3 linked regions of the Drosophila melanogaster genome follow. The protein of the gene in region 1 interacts with the protein of each later gene in a pairwise test. Each region holds a gene or a part of one and is shown on either strand. Other genes may lie near its edges.

The links. Proteins that work in one complex are often made in the same cells at the same time.
Region 2: the proteins of Drep2 (region 1) and Drep1 interact in a two-hybrid assay, tested with the Drosophila melanogaster proteins (2 studies listed by BioGRID).
Region 3: the proteins of Drep2 (region 1) and Drep3 interact in a two-hybrid assay, tested with the Drosophila melanogaster proteins (2 studies listed by BioGRID).

The regions. Positions count from the first base shown.
Region 1 is NT_033778.4:9,292,374-9,301,075, reverse strand, and holds the start of Drep2 (DNA fragmentation factor-related protein 2), read right to left. Parts: upstream 6,282-8,702; 5' UTR 5,507-6,281; coding exon 5,294-5,506; intron 3,811-5,293; coding exon 3,540-3,810; intron 2,810-3,539; coding exon 1,644-2,809; 3' UTR 1-1,643.
Region 2 is NT_033778.4:12,042,438-12,051,047, reverse strand, and holds Drep1 (DNA fragmentation factor-related protein 1), read right to left. Parts: upstream 6,437-8,610; 5' UTR 6,185-6,436; coding exon 6,140-6,184; intron 3,073-6,139; coding exon 2,857-3,072; intron 2,574-2,856; coding exon 2,302-2,573; intron 2,244-2,301; coding exon 1,883-2,243; coding exon of another isoform or gene 1,856-1,882; 3' UTR 876-1,855; downstream 1-875. Other genes in the region: Polr3B (RNA polymerase III subunit B), read right to left, coding at 8,465-8,610.
Region 3 is NT_033778.4:12,052,960-12,058,524, reverse strand, and holds the start of Drep3 (DNA fragmentation factor-related protein 3), read right to left. Parts: upstream 3,437-5,565; 5' UTR 3,307-3,436; intron 2,557-3,306; exon of another isoform or gene 2,552-2,556; 5' UTR 2,505-2,551; coding exon 2,139-2,504; exon of another isoform or gene 1,978-2,138; intron 1-1,977. Other genes in the region: CG44314 (uncharacterized protein), read right to left, coding at 5,256-5,549.

The sequences.
Region 1 (8,702 bases):
GCCTTAACAATAAGAACTCAAGTCTGCAGTAAAAACAAGTCTAAGTGACATTAACAAAACAAGTCGAACAATGATGTTATAATAATTTTCAAATATCAACTATAAAGTATAAACTAGGAGCATAATATATTCAAACAATTCAGAGAATGTTTAGGTTCATTGGTTAGTTTACCCACACTAAAACGTACGTGCTTCCTTTCGATAGTATTATATTCATTACGTTGGCACATCCATCGCCTAAACCTTCCATGTCCTTGCCAAGAATCCTCCAACCCAGTGCTCTCTCAATTTATCCCGATTGCTTGATACCCGTATGGAACAGTCAAAGTTCTGGAAGTCGAAAGCCTAACCCAACGAATGTGGATGCAGGTGCGAATGCTAATGGCGATGTTGGCAGTGTTTTCGCTTTTACGCATTTTTCAATTACGATTTCGATTGCGATCGTGTGATGTCTTCTGATACATACTCCCAATGGATCTACGGCTGATTCTGTCGGCCATGCGGGGGCGGTCTTTATCTACTACACATAATTTTTTAGTCTGTCGTCAGGCATTTGGCGAGCATCGAGCATCATCGAGCGTCTTGCTTATTGTTTCTATTCTCTGTGTTTAATTTTAACATTGTGCGCGATTTGTTGAACGTTTGACAACACTACAAATAACGGCAGTTTTACATGCTGATGCGGATGATTTCCGGAATTTCTTTGGGGGCAGAAATGCAACAAGATTAACAAAGAATAGGCCACTAACAGAGAGTTACGCTGTCCAGGAACTATACAAATGCGGGTTGGGGGTTCGTTAAGCAAATTAAAATGAGGAACTCACTACATAGGAAAAGAGAGACCGACCAACTACAATTAGACCCCGCGTCATCATCGTTTTTCTGGCAACAACATTTTATAGTCTCTGTTATCTATATCTCTTTCACAACTTATAGTCTTTGGGGTTAGATTAGATTTCCTGACTCGAGTGGCAGTCTGTTTGTGGGGCTATCCAACTAAATAAGGCTATTTTGGCACACAATCACAACGGAACACGGAACATCTATTGTACAACAACGATAACAACACAAGGATGGCTGATTTGGGGGCTTGCAACTGATCTGTGGGCTAAATTTTGGGGCGTTTGAATTGAATTTTGCGAATTCAGAATTCGTTAAGCTGGCTGCAGACGGTGCAGTGATATTCTTCGACGTCTCCAACCAGCCATGCTTCTGATTTATGGTAACGTCGGTCCCCGTCAATGAGAATATTGGATAAATGCTACAAAAACTGCTCTTAAGTGGTTCGCGCTTGTTGCTGTTGTTGTGGGCATGGGTGTATGTGTTTCTGGGTGTGTGGCTGCTTTGCTTTCGCCTTTTTATAATTCACGTTTACGCTTACTTCACTATTGTACAATGTGCGACTTGCATTATTATATTCTCGTAATTATTTTATATAAGTATATATGTATATATGTATGCATGTTGGTGTGTGTTTGTGTGTGTGTTCTTGTGTCGAGCTGCTGGGCTACTCTTATTTTGGGTTTTTCCATTTTTTCGTTTTGGTTTCTGTAAAATGCGCTAGTTTATTGATACCTTCTGTGGCGCCCAACGTGGGACAGTCATGAACCTGTGGGTTTGCCCGTCTGCCTGTCATTGGCACTCTAAATTCTGTCCTCCTCATCCTCTTCCTCCTCCTCCTCGACCTCCTCGCCGTTCTCCTCTAGCTCCTCCTTGTAGCCAGGATGCTCAGAGATGGCATAGTAATTGCCATTGTAAATGACGCCCAGTTCGCGCAGCGCATCGCCGCGTATTGTCGCCTTTATCGTCCAGTTGTAGCAGTCGTCTGACTCGGACTCGCGATCCAATCGCTCCACGTCAAGGATCTTGGAGTTGAGGCGTTCCAGTATGATGCCGATGTCCTTGATGCTGAGGTGACGCTTCTGGTCCACCGACAACTGGTCGATCAGCAGCAGAAACTTCTCCGTCGTCGTCTTGTCGTCCTCCATCACCGTGTTCTCCGTTTCGCTCTCGGAGCTATCCCGCTCGGGAGCGATGTCCAGGAATCGCACATGGCCCTTGGCGCCCGAGGAGCGGCGTTGCATGCTGCCGCTTCCGCCGCCACCGCTGCCGCCCAGCATAGGATCCATAACCGATGGTGCCGACTGCGGCTGGGGACTGCTGCTTCCGTCCTGGATGGGCGACGTGGCCACGCTCTTGTGCACAGCGATCTTGCGCCCCTCCTCGTGCAGCGCACAGCAGTGGAAGTCGCACTCGGTGGTGCTGGGACTGCCCGCCCTGCTGGGCGTGTGGGCGTGGTGGGCGCATTCCGGCGTGTGCACATGGACAGCTCCCACACCCACGCCTACGGTGCTGTCGAAGGAGCTTCCCTGCTTGGAGAGTCGCCTGCTGCCGCCGGGTATCACAACTCCTGGCGGCAGAACAACGCCACCGGGATGGTATATGCTCGCCGGTCCGTCGTCGCTGATCACCGTTATTTGAGGGCTGGCATAGCGCGGCTGGGAGGACTGCGACGACACCGACTTGTTGTCCAGCGAACTCTGCGCGGAGAGGCCCTTCTTTGAGGGCGAGTACTTATCGGACGACAGCAGCCCATTGCTGCTGCCCAGGCCGGAGCACATGCTCCCCACTCCGCCGCCGGCGCCACCGCCTCCTCCTCCGCCGCCGCTTCCTCCACCCTGCCGCTGATCCCAGTGCAGAACGACCGTGACACGCCCTTTGTTATCCATGATCTTCCACGACGGTGTCTCATCGTGCAACTCCAGCGCATGAATCGTCTCACAGACGATTTTCGGTATAGCTGATATGGCTGTAAGAAAAATAATAGAATGAGATCCGAACCACTGAGAAATCCCAACTGAAGTTCAGTACGGAATGATGAGAAGGTCAACTATCGCCTCAAAAAATAGCTAATACGATATTCACTTAAATAGACTTGTATAAGAATCGGACGACCATGTTCTTGAAATTGTAATGACTGTCATTTAAATCTCTAAATAGCATTTTTCTTTTGTTTAATTTTTACGTCTTACGTTTTTGTTTACAATTCAATGCTAGCAGCGGAAATCTTAATAGCTTGCCAACGCATTAAAAACATGCTGAAATTTATTGCATTCAAGATCCAATGTGTCTCAAAACAGAGGATATAGTCCAAAGAATTGTTTAAATTTCTGTTCTTTAGAAATTGAATAAGTTCAGCCAACTATAAAAAGAATTTAAATTCATTCGCAAACAATTGACCTTGAAATCAATTCAAACAAGCCACATTGAAAGTTGTGCTAAGTACTAAAGTAAATGCTTGCTCTATGAATTAGTTATTCAATTTGAATGAAATTGAAAGAGTCTTTGATCAAATATCGAAATAGACTTTTTGCAAATATTTAGCTATAAGGGTAAGGCTCATAATTTACGCAGTGATAACTTATTTGAATTTAATATTGAATCTAAATGAATGTTTCCTCTGACCAGGTCTAAATCTATAATTAAATTTCCCGTGGCCAGTACTGATCCCGAGATGGGAGTGAACTTATTACACCCACCAGCCTTTATGACATCGACGCCAGTGGGATACCAGCGCTCGCCCTGCCTTAACAGCAGCAGCACCGTATTGTTGGCCAGGGTGCGAAAGTATTCGCCATCCTCGATTTGGGTTCCATCACACTCCAGAACAACGCGCACCGGTTCTGAAGCAGGAACCCCCAGCTTATCCTTGCCGCGGACCAAGAGCTCCTCGAAGGTCCCAACTACGACGCCCTTGCGCACATTCCGCCAGCTGTCCCAGATTTTCAGTGGTCTCTTGCCGCGAGACTCCTGCGAAGAGAAATTCGGATTAGTTGCGTTTTACGAATTACAATTCCAACTGCTGGCGAAGGAAGGGAAAGTGAAAGCTGAGATGTGGGAGGATGGGGATGTGGGATGTGGGATGCAGGGTGCAGGGTGCAGGATGGGCGTGACACCTGTGAAACGCTGCGCACGAAAAACTGACAAGTGGGTGTGGCAGCAGGCCCGGACTGTGTCATAATTTCCTCAGCCCGCTAATTGGGCTTCTCTGGCTTGGCCAAAAAGGGCGCAAATGTCAAGGCCACAACTGCTGCACTGCTCATATTAATTGTAGATATCTTATGGAATAAAAGTTGAAATAAATCCACGGCCCTCACATTCGAAATAAAGCAAATGCAAGTGCTAATGCTTGAAAATGGAAACATATATGTACATATAAAAAGGGCCAAAGAAAATTGAAAACGAATCCTTTTGGCTAACAGCGCGCACAGCTGTTGGCTAACAGTTGCAGGCAACAACAACAACGACCAGCCAGCCAGCCAGCCAGCCGAGCAGGACGAAAGCTGCAATGTTTAATGTATTGCAAGGACATGAGTGTGGCGCTCCAGTGACCCAGTAACGAGTGCAGCACACGAGCCATATACAAATATCTCTCTTCGGCCAACCAAGCCCCCAAATCCCCCGATCCACCGATCCCCCAGTTCATTCCCCGCCCGTTCACCCAAAATAAAATGTTTGAAAAATTACAAAAAATTCATGTTGACATTTTGCTTATTCCTCCGCACCGAAAACAAGCAGAAACTTTTCATAAAAATATTTCATTTCCCTCGCTCTGGCCAGTGTTTTGTGTGCTCTACTCGCCGCCTCATCCCTCTCCATCCAAACCATCGCACCGATTTTCCTCTTGGGATAGGTCAGTTGCTGCACCCCAGCACCATATGGCACCGAGGGAGTGCAGCGGGTCGGGGATGTGCTGGCTATTATAAATTATGAAACTGATAATACTATAAACAGCGAGCACTGCCAGTTCTAAGGCTCGATAAATCATATTATGCCGTAAAACAATTGTTGGAGAACTGGTTGAATATCGTAGCACTTTAAGATTGTGTGACTTAGCTTTAAAAAAAGGGGAAACTTTAGAAAACAAGTGGGTAATAGTACCTAAAGAAAATGTATAACATACGCTAAAGGTGATGCTTTATCTTCCCTAAGTAAAATAGTAAGATATTTCATTTCATGCAAGAAAAGAGGCAAACCAACCACCAACAGGTTGAATAATTTCAAATGAATTTCCAAAAACCATTAAACTAGTTATTGAGCAGTATTGCCCAACAAGCTATTCGATTAACCAGTGTGAAATGCATTTGAGGAGGTATTTAGAATTGGAGGTGGAATTGGAAACCAAACTGGATAAAGGACGGAATAGATTGAGTTTGATCTAGAAATGAAGGACATTTGCAGTCGATGAAAGCTAAACACTGAATAAGTATGGGTCGCAAAGCGAAACTATTACCATTGCGGACAGTCCGCCGTTTGTGACCGACGACGAGGGCCCCGTTGTGATGGCCCCACCACCCACTCCGGCCCCACCCGCCGCCGCGGCAGAGGCAGCTACGCCCTGCGTGGCCTGGGCCGCCGCCGCAGCTGCGGCTGCCACTTGTCTGATGCTCAGACAGTTGCAGAGCGGCTTCGTCACGCCCAGCGTGCACAGGGCGTTGGACCACATGGTGGTGCTGGTGGTGCTGTTGGTGGTGCTGCTGCTGCCAGCCACTTTTAGGCCGAGTCTCTGCGCTGGCTCTGCTGGCTTGCTTGCAATGGTTGGCCTCGTCGCTTCCAAGGTCGTCTTACACTTGGAGCTCCAAGCTCTGGTAATCCATGTCCGTTTTAAAAATCCGTTATATAAACCCGTAACCGATGTACGCCTTACAAAATCCGGAGTTGCGGATGCTTTTACCAAAAGTTCTACAAAAATTAAAGCTTATTGCTTATTGTTGGAGTCATAAATGCCTTGCGTTCAGGGGGAAAATTCGTAATTACAAAAATTGTTAAGGGGGTCACGAAAAAAAAAACGCACTTTGCACAAAATACAGCTTCTGGTATAAATGTTATCGTCCACGTTATTTGGTTACTTTAGTTTGTTGTAAATACTGGCAGAGTTGAAGTGCCTAGAATTTCGCTTTTCACTGCTCGTACTTCGCATTCGCATTCGCATTCGTATTTTTGGGGCAGGTCAGGGCGGGTTGACCTTCGCACTTTCACTTTACGGATACTACGCGCCTGCAGCGCCCTTTTGCCCGTGAAACCGCCGAGTTTTCATTTTCATTTGATGCTGAGTCCCAGTTATTAGACTTAATTATAGCTCGTTTTTAGAAACTTGATTTTGTAGAAAAACGCTTGATTTGTTTAGTTATAGCACCCAGTGGGAACGTGGTGTTTCCACGGGCCAAAGCAGCGTCCTTAGCTGCCTGTGTGCCTGGCAGCCTGGCAGAGCAAACTGTGAGTTTTCCCGACGAGATGCTGCATCGGATTTCACTACGGTAGCAGCTGCTGCTTCTGCTGCTGCTTCTTCTTTGACTTTTGGGGCTGGGTGCGTTTTTGCAGCGCGTTAACAGCGCTTGAAATGAGCACGAGGCATAAGCGCGAGAGAAGTGCAGTGAGAACGAGGTGAAATGCAGCACAAAGCTTTGCGAGAGCGAGTAGGACAGGTGGAGGAGTGGGGGTAGAAATCCCGTTACTACTATCTAGTCAATTTAATGCCTTCAGTTTTTAGGTCCCCAATTAAACCGTATTTGTTTTATCCACCCCACTATTTCCCATTTACTACCTTTTTTTCCATAATTTTCGATGTTTTAACAGGTAAAGATATTTCGTCGTGCTTTGGCCTACATTTGCATCAATGTGATATAATCAGGACGCCAAAGCGCGCGCACCTTCTCCCTCGAAACGCTTTACCAGCATTTCATAAGATCCCATCAGTTTGATTTTGTAAACATTTACTTCCAATCAACGGCGTTCAATTAATAGTGTTGCTATTGGATTGTGTGCCCCAGGAAAATATTTAGCTTTCTTTTAGACCTGATCTTGCTCGACATTTAAACTCTAGCATTAAACATTGAAGTCTTTTAATAAAAAGGGTGAGACAGAGAGAGAGTGATGCACTTTTATATGAAGCTCTCTACCTCTCGCAAAAGCATTGCCAGCTGTAAATGTGAATGGATAACAGAGCACTAAAACTCCTGTAATTGCTGCTGGCCGAGATTTTTAATTGCAGTAAGAAGAAGGAGAGATAAAGTTGTTTTGTTTATCCTAAATAATGCCAGATCAACTGCCAACTGAAAGCCATCTCGGCTGCATTTTTATCAGCTCTTAAAGGAATTCCAGCGCTTTGGGAATTCGCAACTAATTTATTTTTGGAGACATCCTCTCAAAGCAACAATTTTGGAAAGGCCAGAGAGCGAAATTCCTTTCAAAGGGGGCGCGAGAAGAGGAAGAAGAACAACAGTTGCAGCCACACGTGGGATGGAGGCGGCGGGAAAGGAGGGCGTTGGGGGAGTGGCACATCTGTGAGGCGTAAGTATTACCTCAGTTATTTGGGTCAAAGCTATTCACTCACCCGCAAAGCAAAACGAAACGAAGGAACTGCATAAAACATGCACAAACACACACACATATGCAGAGCAGGAGCTTGAGGGACACGCACACAAAGAGACTAATGCGGGCCACAGGCTTAATAGGTTTCTCTAGCGGATGCGGACGCGAGTGCGGAGCATCCGCAGCGATACGCCTTGCTAGATACACTCGCCAAAGGTTGTCATATGAAAAATTCACATAGATGGAGCAGAGTGCCTGTAGTTTAGGCCAGGCATGAATCGTATCCATTGCACCCATACTCAAGCAGCAAAATAAAAATTTGCCTAATCTTCTCTAGAAGTTGATTTATTCATGCATCCTGTTGTGTTGCTCTATAAAGAACCTATCTTTCGTTCAGCTGACCACGTAAAGAACAAAATATCTACAAAGACCAAGTCAAAGAAATATTAAAATATATTATAAATTTTACTTTGTTCAAATTGCATGTTATTAAAAAAAATCTATTACCTAGTATTATTTTTGATTATTTTGTTTCTACTGCTTAATTAAAAAATTCATTCCTACAGAGAATAATTATTTGTTACACGCAGCATTTTTATTATTAAGTTGTAGTGTTGGGTTAAACTTCTTTGGAAAAATATGACATAGGGTTAACTGTTTTAATGTTGGGAGAGGCTAACACCGTTGGTTGCAGATGTGAATGATGGGGGATGGTGATGAAGTGAGAACAGCTGATTTTGGCAAAGTAACTTGCGGTACCGTGGTGATCGGGAAAACTAAAACGGTTAAGCCGTAGTTGCCGGCTTTGCTTTGCTTTTAGCACGTTTGCACTTACCTCTCTGGCCATTACGACATGTTATCACCAGCGGCACCCGCTTAGAGGGTCTGCCATTTGCTCAGCGGCAATAACAACAAAAACAACACGGGAGCGCCTCTTAGAGCGAGGGAGTGGGAGAGGCAACAACAAAGCACACGCTTTTCGCGATACGAGAACTCTCGTGCGTCTACTTAAGTATGTGTGTGTGTAGGCGGCAAGCGGTATAGACGGAGAGACAGAGAGAAAGAGTGTGGGAGGAGTGTGTGCGTGTGAGTGTCTCAAAAATTCTCTACTACACGTTTATTTTCAATCTTCTCTTCCCGCACATTTCTCCAACGCGCCGATGCTGTTTCGTTCTTCCTCTTGCTTTTCTATCCTGTCCTTTGGCTTCCTTTCCTTCTTCCTCTCCACACCAATCACTGCGTGGGTATGTGTGTATAGGTGTGTATTGGAATTCGCAAAGGTATTTGATTAGGAAAGCTGGGATTTGTTTAAACAATTAGCATGCATCACT
Region 2 (8,610 bases), 2.7 Mb from region 1:
AACTAATTGTATAACTTTTTATCTAAATTATTCGTACTAGACTTGTTAAATAAAATGCCTGACTACTGAATAATTTTCAATAAGAGTCTTTTTTTATTCAAAGGACCAAAATCGGTTCGCTCGAAGCTCAGATTGCTTTCGATTAAGTTTCCATTTCCTCTTCCGGCACTTCCTCTTAATCTGCAGGACAACATCAAAAGAATTACAAACTCAAGTGTGTGTGACAATTTCTTGGCCAGGCAGCCCACCGTAAATGCCATCATACACATCAAAAGCAGTCAAAGCGATTTTCAGTTACATTTTTAATATTTTTGGGCACTTTTCGCCCCATGATTTTTCTTTTTTCCCCTGCCAGCAGGATGAAAATCGTCGAGGGCGCAAATTAAAAGAGCAGCCAAGGAATGGGAACCGAAAAAGGGATGTGCTGTGTTAGTAGGGGATATTGAGTATGCAAAGGCCACAGGACGCTGGATTCAATTCATCAAAGCCAGGGCCACGCCCACAAAGAGACCCTTGCTGTGGGGCGCTGTCGTCACGAATTTGGGTCACCCGGGAGCTTTGAACTGTGTTAGTAGGCCATCGCAATCAGCTAGCCAGGACCTGCAAACGTCATGGTGCAGTGACGTCACGAAGGAAGTTGAATGGCAAAAGAGAATGGCGTCGAGTAATGCAATTATATGGCAGCAGCAGGTGTAGGACTCCCACTCTCTTGCTCTCTCGAACTGGAAAAAAGGGAAATGGAAGAAGCGGTGAAGGAAGGGGAAACTCTCTTTTGCCAGCGGAAGAGCAGGATGCAGTCCATACGCCCTGTTGCACACGCTTTGTGCGTTGCGCATACGCCCCGTTTGCCAGTTATGCTAGTTCAATCAACTTTAGTTTAATAATCATTTATTTATTACTTGGTTTCGTGTATATAGTTTGCCTCGGGGTTTTCACTTGCATTTACTGTATGCTTTTCACTATATTTAATAATTGTTCACTGTTTGCATTCGGTTTTAGATTTCGTTTACGTTTACGGTTTCCCTTATTGCTTATTCGAATTGTAGACAGTTACAGTTACCAACTTTGATTGGGCAATTGCAATTTGCGTTATTGTGTTCCATTATTGTTTAATTAGCTAACAATGTTTGCGCTGTCGCTTAAATTCATTTGGCTATGGATTCGGGGGCGGGAAGACGGGGATTCTGGGAGGACAGGGCAGCAGCGCTGGAGGCTTCCATCCGATCTTTCCCGAACCGCTCAAACCACGAAAAAACCTATTACACATAAATTCAGTCAGTCTCAATTGGCCTTTAACGAATGACATTCACAATGGCATTGGTCTAAAAACAATATTTGATGTGCGTTTCCACTCTACCTACTATTCGTAACACAATTTACACGGTAAGCAAATCAACAGTTTCCTGGGACAACTCCATCCAATTGGGGTTCGCTCTGGTTGTGGGATTCTACCTCAAGTATAATACTTATTTCGCTAACCTTTGATTATTATTCATCTAGTACGGCTTGGTGTGACTCGTGTATATGCGGTTAAATACGATTCCGCTGACTGTGATTGCTAAAAGACTTTTCAAATCTGCGCGGGCCTCTTGTTCTCTTGAGCCTCGTGACCCGGTGTTTAAATCTAGTACGTGTATTGTTCGTTAACTTTCATTTGCTCTTAGATACTATGAAGCATTTTCAATGACTTGATTTCGTCTCCGTTTCGTTTTTGCTGATTTCGCAGTGCCTAATTACATGCTACAAATACGATTTATGTTAACCCAATGTTGCAGGACTGATGTCTTCGGTATATCCTTTTGGCTCTTGATTTTGATTGGCGCACCCAGTTGCGTTAGTTTTCCGCCGGCAGACTTTACCTAAGACTGCCCAAAATGGGCAGTCAGATGTCGCCGTTGGCATTTGGATTTCTATTTGGATTGGCATTGGCCTCATTGGCAGCCGCTTCGGCAGCGGAGGATCCCATCGCTCCACTGGCTGTGGCGCAAGTGGTGGTGGCCTCGCCCACCGTAATTGTTATCGTCGTGTTTTGATTGTCGCACTGCACCACCTCGATGGTGCGGGTGTTGCTCGTCGTTGTGGTGCTCATCTGTCCACTCTCCGCCTCGTTCAACTGCCGTCCAATCTCCCGGTCAATGGCCTCCGCATCCTCGGGATAACGTTCCGAGCAGAAAATGGCACCAGCTTTCAATAGCTTCAGCAGATTTAAACGATCCTCGGCATTCCGCTTGGCACACAATGGCCTAAAGTCATGAAATCATGCTACAATTAAGTGGTATATGGGAAAGGAATTAAACTCACCTTCCCGCATCCTTGAGCTGCTCCATAAACTCCTTTCCCGTGATGTCCACCAACGAGTTGGGATCCATGTTGGAGAGTGAGTCCAGATCGGCATCGTTCATCACGGACACGTTGCAGAGGTTGTTCTGCAGCTGGCCCACCAACTGGCGGATGCGAGCCGACTCCGAGTTGTTGGCATCGGTGGTGTCGCCCTCGCCTCCTCCGTTCAGCTCTCCGTTTCCAGTTCCTGCCTCGTTGCCATGTGGAGTGGTTATCGTCACGTAGTGAGTGGGCTATAAACAGAGTGCAGATAGCATTTAATTTAATCTTCCTGGCTTTGGTCCCATGCTCATGGAGCTCTTTCATGGCATTCAAGAAATAATGCAATTAGTCATTATGGCAGATAAAAGGAGGGACACATAAAATGAGCTATCCAATTAAGCGGTGTTCACTTTGAGAAATGAAAATTACACAATCGCAAAACGAATTTATTGAGGTGATTTAAATAAAAAAGGTGCTGATATAATTATTTTTAAGTGCCTGTTTTCCTTTTCCTTTTATTTAAGGGCTACTCACATCGATCCAATGTTCTCCGGGAAAGACGGCCACCAGTTCCGTATTCTCGTCGAGGGTGCGAAAGTACTCCTCATCATCGATCTCCGTGCCGTCGGAGTCCAGGTGGATGGTGGGCAGGTGGTCGCACTTCTCGAACTTCTCCGCCACCTTGCTGCGGATCTCCTCCAGACTGGAGGCGCAGACAGCCTTCTTAATGTTGCGTGTTACGTCCTTGACCTGGCCATAAAAACGCAGAAGGACAGTGCCGGGAAAAGGGAATAATAAACCATTACACGTTTGCAATTACGGAGACAGTAGCAGTTACACATGGCCCCGCTCATCAAATGAATAATAAATTAATGTCAGATGGGAAACAACTGAGGTCCTATAAAATATTCACATCGTCGGCACCCAAAATAAGAAAACGGAAAAACATCGAAATGGGAAAAGTTGTAAATTTTCCTTTAGCTGCACCCTTTTTCTTGAGACAACAACGTGAACGGAATGGAGAAACTATGGAAACTTTCCGCCTGATTTATTCATTATCCTCCCGCTTGCACTTAATTATTCAGTCTGTTTCTCTTTTCAACGCAAACTTTACCCTGTTTTTATAGTTATTTAATTAGGCAATCTTTGAAAATTCCATTAAACAAAGAGAAAAGATAAATAGTAGCGCAAGTTGCTAAATAATAAATACACAACCACATTTCGACGCTGATTGTTTTCCATTCCCCGAAAAATCGCAATGAATAAATGAACGCAATATTTGCGACCACGTCATGTCCTGCTGTCAAATGTCCATTTGCTCTAATTGAGATTTATGGACGGCTTTTTCCCGGTGGGGGATGTCACCACCTTAAAGTGCCTCCCACAGCCCGACGACTTTGTGCATATTTCAGTTGCGAATGCCGAGTTCCATGAGCTCCTCTACTTTTGCTCGAGATCTCGAACGCAGTTTGACATGCACTCTAGCAGCTGCGGTGCAAATATTTGTCGTTTATCTCCCACTCCCCGATTCCCTGGCGTATCCTTTTAAATTTTCTTTTTATTTGACAAGTTATGCATGTCAGCATTCTTCATGCTGCATGCTCCTTCGCGAATGCCATAGGTTAGTGCTGTTCGCCGGTTGCAAGGACGAAGGACGCAAGCCTTTGGCTCTATTAAACTTGCATGCGATGTTAAATGATGCCTCAGCACTAAGGTTAAACGAAACATAAATTAGACCCGTCCAGATGGAGGCTCAAGGAGGCGCAACTTTAAGGGAGCAAGCGGCACGAATGCATTCCACCCAGAATTTATAGCCCCGAAACGTCGGACAGCGTGCAACTCCTTGAGGTCCTTCATGAATATTTGAGAGCACCGTGACTAAATGAAATTGTACTCGAGTTTGCATTTCGAACATTTCATTTTACTCGTGCGCCTAGCTGCTCTATCATCCCAATTCCATTTGCTCAGATAGCGGAGGAGGTCGTCCCTAAATTATCTTATAAATACTTAAAGCCACATAACTTTTGTGCCGCGAAAGCTCCAAATATTAATCATATCATGAATGCGGCGTGTGGGGCTAGAACTTTGTAACAATGAAAACTTTGCCCAACTACTGGCGCATTTGACAAGTGGGAGTCGCGGCAGCATCGAAAACAAAAGCATAGTTTTTGTTCGGAAACTTGTCAAAAGTTTTAGTCGATCGCATTAGTTGATTTTTCAAGTGGCGTCGATTTTTCAAGCGGTCGCAATTCAATTAGCAGTTTATCTAATTACCCGCAAAATTATACAAAGCTTATACAAATCAGAAACAAGATTTATTCGGAAAGTAAACATGTTTCAAAAGTGTTTCAAGTTGTTTCTTGAATGGAAATGCTATTAGGTTATATCATTAAGAGCAAATTTTTGGCACATCGTGGTAAGTAAAACTTTATTTTTTAATATTTAAATATAAGAATAATATTTAAATATTGAAATGAGCAAACACAAATGTTACCTACTTGCTACTGTTTAAGATACAAATTTCCAAACTAGCATCACTACAAGTTCAGGCTAATGTATGTGAAAGTCTAGATGAAATCAGTTAAGTGTTTTTCTAGAAGACCAGTTTATACACAAAAGTGTATGCAAAACGACTTGGGCAAATTGGTAGAGCAGCAGCGAGTTGAGGGCTTATAAATCTCAACTAACTCGAGCTGCTCAGCCATCAGGACCCGAGGGTCCTGGTCCACACATACGTACGTAGATGAACGTGCAACGACCTCCGGCGTCTGGCTCCGTTTTAGGAGCAGCCGAAGGAGACGTGCCAGGAACTCTATCATCTGCATCCAAGATGCGGGCAGAATCCACAAGTCGCAGGACATTTTAATATTTGATGGGCGTAGGCCGCAGATTTTCGAGTCGCTGGGGAAATTAGGCGACAACTTTAAATTGCTTTTGAACTATGCCGCGGCATTATGTAGATTGTTTAATAAATTATTAACAAAATGCCTGAGGCGGGTCGTGGGCGTGGCTGTTGGCTAATTACAGCGACATGTCGGGATGAAAAGTTTTCCCTTTTTAATGGCATTTTCATGGCTGTCATGGTATTTGACAGCTTTTAAGCCGATTTGCGTTTGGTGGTTTTTGAATTAAATATTTTAATAAGGAGCGGCATTTTAATGGATAAAGTGGGGGAGGGAATTCCTGGATGTTATCTCCAGTCATGTTTTACGAAAGTTGTTTTCTGTGTTTCACAGACAATTTAAATAGCTTTGTGGTTTATTGGTTTCCTTTGAGTTGTCAGCTGCATGTACTTCCAGTGGTTTTCTGCAACCTTAAGCACGTTTTTTACATCCCCATAATACTTTAAACAGCTTTCTGCTGTTTAAGCGGCAGATAAACAAATTAAACAGGAAACAATGGCCCAGCAGTCAAGTAAAACAAATGCTAAAGGCAAACAATTCCCAATACTCGAATCAAAAGGCAAATGCAAAGCTAGACAAACATGTAAAAAAAAGGACAAAGAGAAAGAAAGCAACTAAATAGTGTTTTTGAATTTGCAAAGTCAAATTTCAGGCAGTTAATGCTTATTACTGAGCTTTCGGCACTCTCTTAGCTTGAGCTTTTGGCTCTCTTGAGTTCTGAAGTTCAACCCAGTTTCCATAAGAATCCAAAAAAAAAGGAAAAAAAGTAGCGAACGCAGCACGCGGCCAACAACAACAAAGGCGAAAACAACAACGCCCAAAAATGGACATGCCAGGAAAATAATGCATGCACTTAAAATGCAATTGTTCGTCTGCGGCCTTTATTTCCATTTACAATTACAGGGGGAACTCACTTTGAAAGGCTTTTTGGAGTCGCCCGAGTTCGCTGCAGTCTCCATGGCTTTGTTTGCTCCAACTAAATTACTTATTCACTATGCACTTTATTTCCAGGCTTAATTGCTCCACATTAAATGACTTTTCTATAGATTTGATTACTTTTCGCTTGCTTCTTGCACTTGCACTCGGCGTCCGAACAAACAAACTTGGAATTTCCTTCCACAAGCTGCACTTCAAATGGGAATTAACAATATTTTCTCGGCTCCGCAGCGGAGCTTTCGTTGCGATGAGCACCGGTTTTGAAATGAGCGCGTTTTGCTCAAAAGCACTGCCTTTTATACGCAGAGAAAGGGCTTCTAACAGATGTTGAGTTCGAACTGCGAGTGCTCGCTTTTAAATGAATGTTAACTGATAGGTTCAAATAATATTTGTTTTATGTCCTATTGGCCATGTTTCTTTTTAATCATGATAAGTAAACATATTTTTGAAGCCTAACACTTTTTTTTTTTATATTTTTTTTTTTATAAATTATTCCCTGTAGATTTTGGTTATTTAATTAATTAATATTGTATCAATTTTTTGTAAAATAGGTAATAATGTGCTTCTAAAAGAAAACACTAAACAGATTAGAATTTTAAATATATTGAAACATAAAGCTTACAAAGAGAAAACAAACATAGTCAAAAACACGTTCTCTCTCGCTGAATATGTTAACATTTGGCTGTGGCCTAGTCCCTAGAAAACACAAAGAGTTTGCTGGAACAATCCTGGCTGAAAAGTTAAGGTGATTCCAGCAATCTAATCTCTATTTCCATCGGAAGGTGCTTTCGGATTCAATTAGTCCATTGGGAGGGGTTGCGCATTATCAGCCCAATGATATCCGGTGTTGTCAATTCGAAATCCCCTCGCCCGCTTGGAACCCGGCCAAAAGAGCAGTTGGACTACGCTTAACTTTCTACACAAGTGGCCAACACCCATTTAAATCTATATACATCTATTGCCATGCACACATCAACGAACCGTCCAGATAAGAAGAGCAAAAAGCAAACTTTTGACAAATGGCCAAAATACATGAAAGGAAAGCCAAAGCCGGAAGGTGGCCCCAGATTGGGTTCTCATCAGTTTGTGCACGGCGAAAAATAAAGATTCTGTTATGATACTAAAAACTAATAAAAACTATAACTTATTGCATACTTATCAGCGCCTAATTGAGCAAATGGATTCCATAAAGGATAAAGGTATGTAGGTATAAATAGGAATGAGTAGTTTTCTTTTAGTCATACGAATATCAACTAACTTTATATAATTCTCAAAAGTTTTTCCACGTATAAAACGGTACTGAATAGCCCGGAAAAGAGGTGGGCATGCAAGTATGGGGGAGATCAGAGATGGGGCAGCCTTAAATTGTCATCCTAGTGCGCACCATTGGTTCCTCGGATGCTGATGCTGCTTCTGCTGCTGGCAGTTTGCCCCGTTTGCTGTCATTGCACTGCACATAGTAACTTCTACGTGTCCTGCGGAGGAGAAGCAGCAGTGGGTGGTAGCTGTGACTATTTTAAGCGCAGGTCACTCGAAAGGACGCACAAGGACATTGGCTTGTGTGGGTGGCTGTGTCGCCTGCAGTTCGCAGGTCACGTGCATGCACCGCGGTGCATTGACCACGGACACGTTGACACATCGGCCGGAATCTGGGTTGAGCTCCACCTCGAAGCCAGGTGACAGGTAATTGCCTCACGGGCAATCAGGCAATAGGCAATATCGAGGGAAAACAATAAATCAACGCCTGGCGATATTGGTTTTACTAAGAAGCATCAAGCCGCTCGAGAATGTTTAGTTTAACTGAGCCAAAAAACAAAATACACATAAGATAGAGGATTATAAGGACAAAGAGCAAACAAAGAAACAGAATAACAAAAAACATTTCATCTTAACAACTTAATCTTTTGTCCAGACACAGACGTTTTAAATTCGGCCAAAAGGGCAGACACAACTAATTATCCTTTGCGCAATAAAAAAAAAGGATAACATAAGCGATTTAACACGGCTCAGTCCTTTTCAGTAACAGCTTGCGTCTGCCTGTTAACGAACAGAAAGCTGATATGCAAAAGGACCTCGTTAAAATTCAAGAGGACTTTCTTTCGCTGACTTCGTTTGAACCTCTTCATTTTGACATTTGCAGCTCGCGGTCATGGAAACTTAATGAATGCGTAGGATTTTTGCCCTTGCCAGAGTTCACACACCATTCGTTTTTACAAAAATATTGGAAAACCTAAGCTAGTTTCCATCATTAACCATTATTATTATATAACAATTATTTTATTCGGTTTCAGGCCATTGCATCGTTAATAGTTTTCCAAAATCATTTTCGGCACCACATTCATGCTGGTCAACTCCTGGAAGAGCAGTTTGCATGCATACGGCATGGATATCTTAGAGACATTGGCCGACGACTGGCAGAAATGACACCAGGAGCAGTAGGCCATCCTGC
Region 3 (5,565 bases), 2.8 Mb from region 1:
TCAGGCTTTATTTTTAAACCATTTGCATTTGCAGACACCCACCGAAAGGTGATGCCCGTAGGTGGACTGTGGACCCCAAATGACTGTGACATGAAAAACACATTTGCGCGTTACGCCAGTGGGGAAAATGAAAGCTGGATTTTTCCTCGCCCAATGAGATTTGTTTTACAGGAATCTAATTTTCTGCCAGGACCAGAAGTGTTCTGGGCAACCACAGAATTTCCTTAAGCAAAATATTAACTAAAACTGCATGCGAAGTAAAATAATTTGGTACGCAGCCAACTGAAGTCTCTAGTAGGCACTGTTGCCGACTTAGCTCTTTTCCAATCAAATTTTCCTTTATTTCATATATTTTGATTTAGTTTCTGAACTGAATTCCAGCTGTTTTTTAAGGTATTCATATTTTCAAGTCAAAAATGTCTTTCTGTGTGGCAGCACTGCTATGAGTTTTCAGTTCAGCGGTAGATCTAAACCAATTTAACCTTGTGAGTAAACCAAACTGCAAATCAGTCATGGTAACCATCGAATTAATTGAACTATCTGATATTAAGTAGAAGAGATGCAAATTATTTTCATACCGAGAAGAACCTAAGGGCCAATACGTGAACACAGGATATTATTAACCCTACCTCACGCATTCATGTGTTGGCCTCTGACTACCAACCCTTTCCTTAATTTTCACTCTCATTTAGTTGTTTCTGGAATTAGTCAAAGGGATTATATCTCCAGGATTATATCATCCAGTGTTTTTAATCAGAACCTTGGCAATTTCCCCGAGAGCTCGATAAAGAAGATGCCCGTGTCAGATGGCAGACAAGATGGAGGCTTATTAATTAGCTGGAATGCGCATGAATTACGCATACGTCACGTGGCCCACGCTCACCCATCATCATCATCATCACCGGTCGGTTGCCACTGACAAATGACATCGCGTTTCGGCCACGTCAAGCCGTCAATTAATTGCTTTCGCCTGGCAAATTTACAGCCACTTGATATCTCGTAGACGCCGATCTTTTGGCCAGTTTATATTGTTATGGCCATCGCTCTGATGCCGTTAACACACAATACATCGATTAGGGTGTTCAGCTGGCGTGGCCAAGACACCTACTTATAGTTATCGCCGCCCACACAGACGCCACAAGGCGGCTTAGATGTGGGCGTGGCACTGGAGGCGATTGGCGGAATGGCTGGATGATTGGCCAGCTGGCTGGCCCACAATGATATACGAGACAATTGGGCGCCCGCATCCTGATCCCACTACCCTATGCAACTGAACAGTTTGAACATTTTAATTAAATTTTCATTGTTGACCAGCCACACAGGCAAAAAATTTGCAAGAAGCTAATCTGAGTAGAGGGTGAAATATGGTCTATACTATATTGTATTGATAGTGTTAGTGATTTACTGAGCATGGCTTACTATAAGTGGGTAATTGGATATAGGATCATCAAAATAAGGACATTCAAGTTCAATTAAGTTAAATCATATCAATACTAAACAGAATCGTTTTATTCTTGCAAGTGTCGATGTGTTGTATCTTTCACACACAGTTTTTAGAGTTAAAAGTTTCGTAAATAGGTAAACGGATGCGTAAATTGTTTCGTAAACTTTGCAGAATTGACAGCGACTATTTGTGACCCTAATCATTTCTTTCTGTGCTCCAAATTGGGCAGGGCCACGCAATCCTCACAATCAAATGGAGTTTGCCATGGTGAAGGCAGTGCGGAGTGGGCTGCTGGTAGGGCAAAAGGAAACAGCTCTGTTTTCCCGGATTTTTTCCCGCACCAACTCTTGCAGCGAATTGAAAAGTTGGACGAATGCTTAAAGGGCGAATAAAGCACCGGTAGCAACACTTCAGCAGCAGTGCCAATGTCGATGATGCCACTCAACGCCGAAGGCTTTGAAGTGGCCGTTCCGTCGGGGAACCCTTCACTTTGTTCGTCCTGACCGTCAAACTTTTTCCTCCATTTTCAGTTTAATTTTTTCTATTTTTTTTTTACTATATACCCATCAAGCGTAACAATAGCACCGCAGTAATCACTTAACGAAATGCTGGCCCAGATGACGGGGCGCCAGGTAGCGTGGCTAAATGCCACAAAGGACATGAAGGATGTGCGAGTAGCGAGTGGAATACCCACCTTGAAGGGCTTGCTGTTGTCCAGCTGGGCGAAATCCTCGTCGGCGGTGGTGGGCGAGGGCGTGGGCGTGGCGCTGCTGTGCGGCGATAGGGCCAACTCCAAGGTGATGCTATCCGCCGCATCGTCCAAACCATCGTCGGCATCTAACTCGATGTCCTCGCAGTCCGCGTCCAGTTCGGCCGTCCTTGTCAGAGTCCGCTGCCTGGGCGGCGGAGCCACTATTCTGCTATCAGGATCACACTGTACTCCTGCTGCAGCTGCTGCTCCATCGCTCTCCTTCTTCTGCTCCCTCTCCGGTTCCTGCTCCTCCTCAGCTCCTTGAGGCATTCCAGCCAGCTTTGTCTCATCCGCATTCATTGCTGTCATGTATTTACCTCGTCTCGAGAGTTTGTTCGCCTTGTCTGGACTCCTTGCTGCACTGGTTGAAAAACATGGTCGAAAGAGAAAGAGATTTATGACGAGCAAAACAAATTTAGACGATAATTGAAATATGCTGTATGGCATTCGGGGATGCTTTCAAAGCTGAGCCAAGCATACTAAAACTGCCAGACTTTGTGTTATTGTTATTTCATATACGCGTGTACGTTGTTTGCTTCGACCGGAAAATTTATAACGAAATCGTTGTTTGGCCTTTGTTTTGGCTTTGATTTAAAAAAGTTTTGCAATTGCTGAAATTGCTTGACCTTAAAGCCACATAGAAAACGAAGTTTATAGAGACCAAAAAAAAAAGAAGGAGACCATGGAATGTTATTGCATTACAATTTCACCATCGGCTCTTTAAATACTGTACATTTTTACCAACGACTTAAAAAAAATATCTACAAAATATTATTATTTTTTTAATTTTATATAGTAATGTAATTTGCACTATTTCAATTTTGGTGTCCTGTATTTGATAGTAAAGCTCCATATATGACGATGCAGAAACGTGTTTAGAGTTTTTCAAACGAATATAATTGGCCAACTTTTTTGTTTGGTAAAACTTCATTTAAATTTATAGAGGCAATTATAAGTCTAAAAGAATATAGTTTGCATGTGCTTGCTTGTTGTTTTTTATCATGAAAGCTAAACTAATTATTTTCCATAATTTCCACAAGCCTCTTTTAGACAAAAAGATAGTTGGTTTATATACTCTGAACTCTAGAAGCAACATTTTGTTTCTCATTACCGTGCACTTTAAGTTAAAAACCGAATTCTTCACATCTTCCGGCAACAATTACAATACGCGATTCTGGCTGAGATCGCGAGCCGACTACTCACAGCAGCCAAGTGCAACAAAAGCCGGCCGAACTTGGAATAAATTGCCAGACGTCTGTGCGTGCTGTATTTAAACGTGGCAGGACTCGTCGAGTTTGCCGACAGCCTCGGCCAGCGCAAACACACACGGCGCAAAGTCAGCAGGTCCTGCAAACACACAGCAAAGTCTAACCTTCGCGGAGCTTTGGCCGTGAGAGCAGGACACTCGCAAAGAGAGGCAAAGAGAGAGAGAGAGAGAGAGAGCGAGCGCTCTGTTAAGGCTCCTGTTAGCCAGGACACGCTGGGCGTGCCGGGCCAGAAGCATAGACCCTATGCCGGATAAAGTAAAGTTGGCACAAAAGAACTCTGGCCTGGGATCGGGATTCTATGACCTGGAAGGTGGGAAAAGTTTACTGGAGCAGCTGCAAATAGTTCTACTTAGCCGGGACCACAAGAAGATAAAAACGAATACAAACAGCACAGTGTATTTGCGGGGCGTGATGGCAAATATAAATATTTTAGCCTGAACTTTCAGGCGCTTAAGGGCAAAGTTTAAAAATGCAATAAAAATAAAGTTTGCAATTTCGGCGAAAAACTCTGGCGTCCAGCTGAAAAATGTCACTTCGGCATAATGAGACTGCTGCTGGCTGCATAATTAAAGCATCCCAGAGCTGGGCAAAAGTTTTCAACAAAGGTGCATTGCCTTTGAGGGCGAGACAAAAGCCGAGATTTATTGGCATTTGCATTGGCGGAATATTTAAAATGCATGAGACGCTGTACGTCGATCGAATTTGTTCGCATTGGGAGCAAACAAAGCCACTTAGCTGCATTTATCACAGCACTGGGCTTAAATGGCTGAAATATTGCGCATACGCCGCGTGAGCCAAGGTTAATTTGATTGCGCCCGCTTACGGAAGTTCGGCATTGAACATGGACTGAGCACGTGATTCCAACTGCAGTCACGTGATGGATAACAATATATCTGTGGGCCTGTTATCTCGTTTACGCATTTTGAGCCTGGTCCTTGTCCCAACTACCTGAAGTGCATACTTTAGGCCCAAGCGGATTCGGATTGCTGGGCGAATTTTGCACGCTCATCTGTTTATTCGCCCTGCTGGGCATTCATTTCCGTCCGCCATTTTCCATTTCCCATTTTCCCCCGCCGGCGGGTCAAATAATTTATGGGCCATGGTCCGCTAATTGCGCATTGAAGCGCGGCGCGAACAACTATTCGCATTTCGCATATGCAGCATGCTGGTCCTGCTGCAGGACCTCCATCGCCATCAATTTAAATGCATAGGTGCAAATTGAAATTTATGCGTCTGGTCGCGAAGGTAAATTCCCTTCATCATCAGCTGCCATGTTTAATTGCGATGCACGACCTTGGCCGTCTGGCCAGTTAGATTAATTAACTCACATGTCGTCGGAAAGGTCATGCCGCCGCATGTGGCGATGATAAATGGCCTCTGATCCTGGTCCTTGGATATGTGGCACTTTTCGCCAAAAACTCGTCAGGCGAAAAACACATAAGGCAGTGGTACGGGTAAATGCCAAATATTTGCGCCTGCTGTCAGCAGTCTAAATGAAATTAAATGGAAAAAAATAGCATTTCGATGCGGGGCAAACCAAAAATGTATAAAAGAAAATGGCAAACATTTTAATTAAATTAAAATAAATGTGAAATGGAAAATAATGAGAGAAAAAAAGCACTGGCATCGACCTTGCCGCCATGTAACAAGCAATTACATTTCCCCCCCTTAATGGCATACTTCATTATTTTGTGTATTTCCTGTGTAAGGATACCTACGTGCAACGGTCCTGGCCATAATTGGTTTAATGGCCAGCAAGCCTGTGCGTATTTGCACTATATCGGTTAATGGCTTAATAGCGCGGCTCTACATCAAACATGCAGTACAGTGTACAGTCGAACTGCTGCTCGACCTGCTGACATTCACCCAGTTGATCCGGCACTAGGTTGCCCTTCTCGGCGAGGCAATCGCTGATGCACTGGCTGCCCAATGGATGCGCCATCTCCCCTTGCAGCTCCTTTAAGCTGGCTGCCACATCTGCACCCTGCTGCTGCTGCTGCTGCTGCGGCGGCGGCGAAAGGTCAATCGCCTGTGCAGCCAGCAGCACCAGCAACTGCATCACGATAAACAAAACGGATAATTTCATATTTGTATTTGCCAAA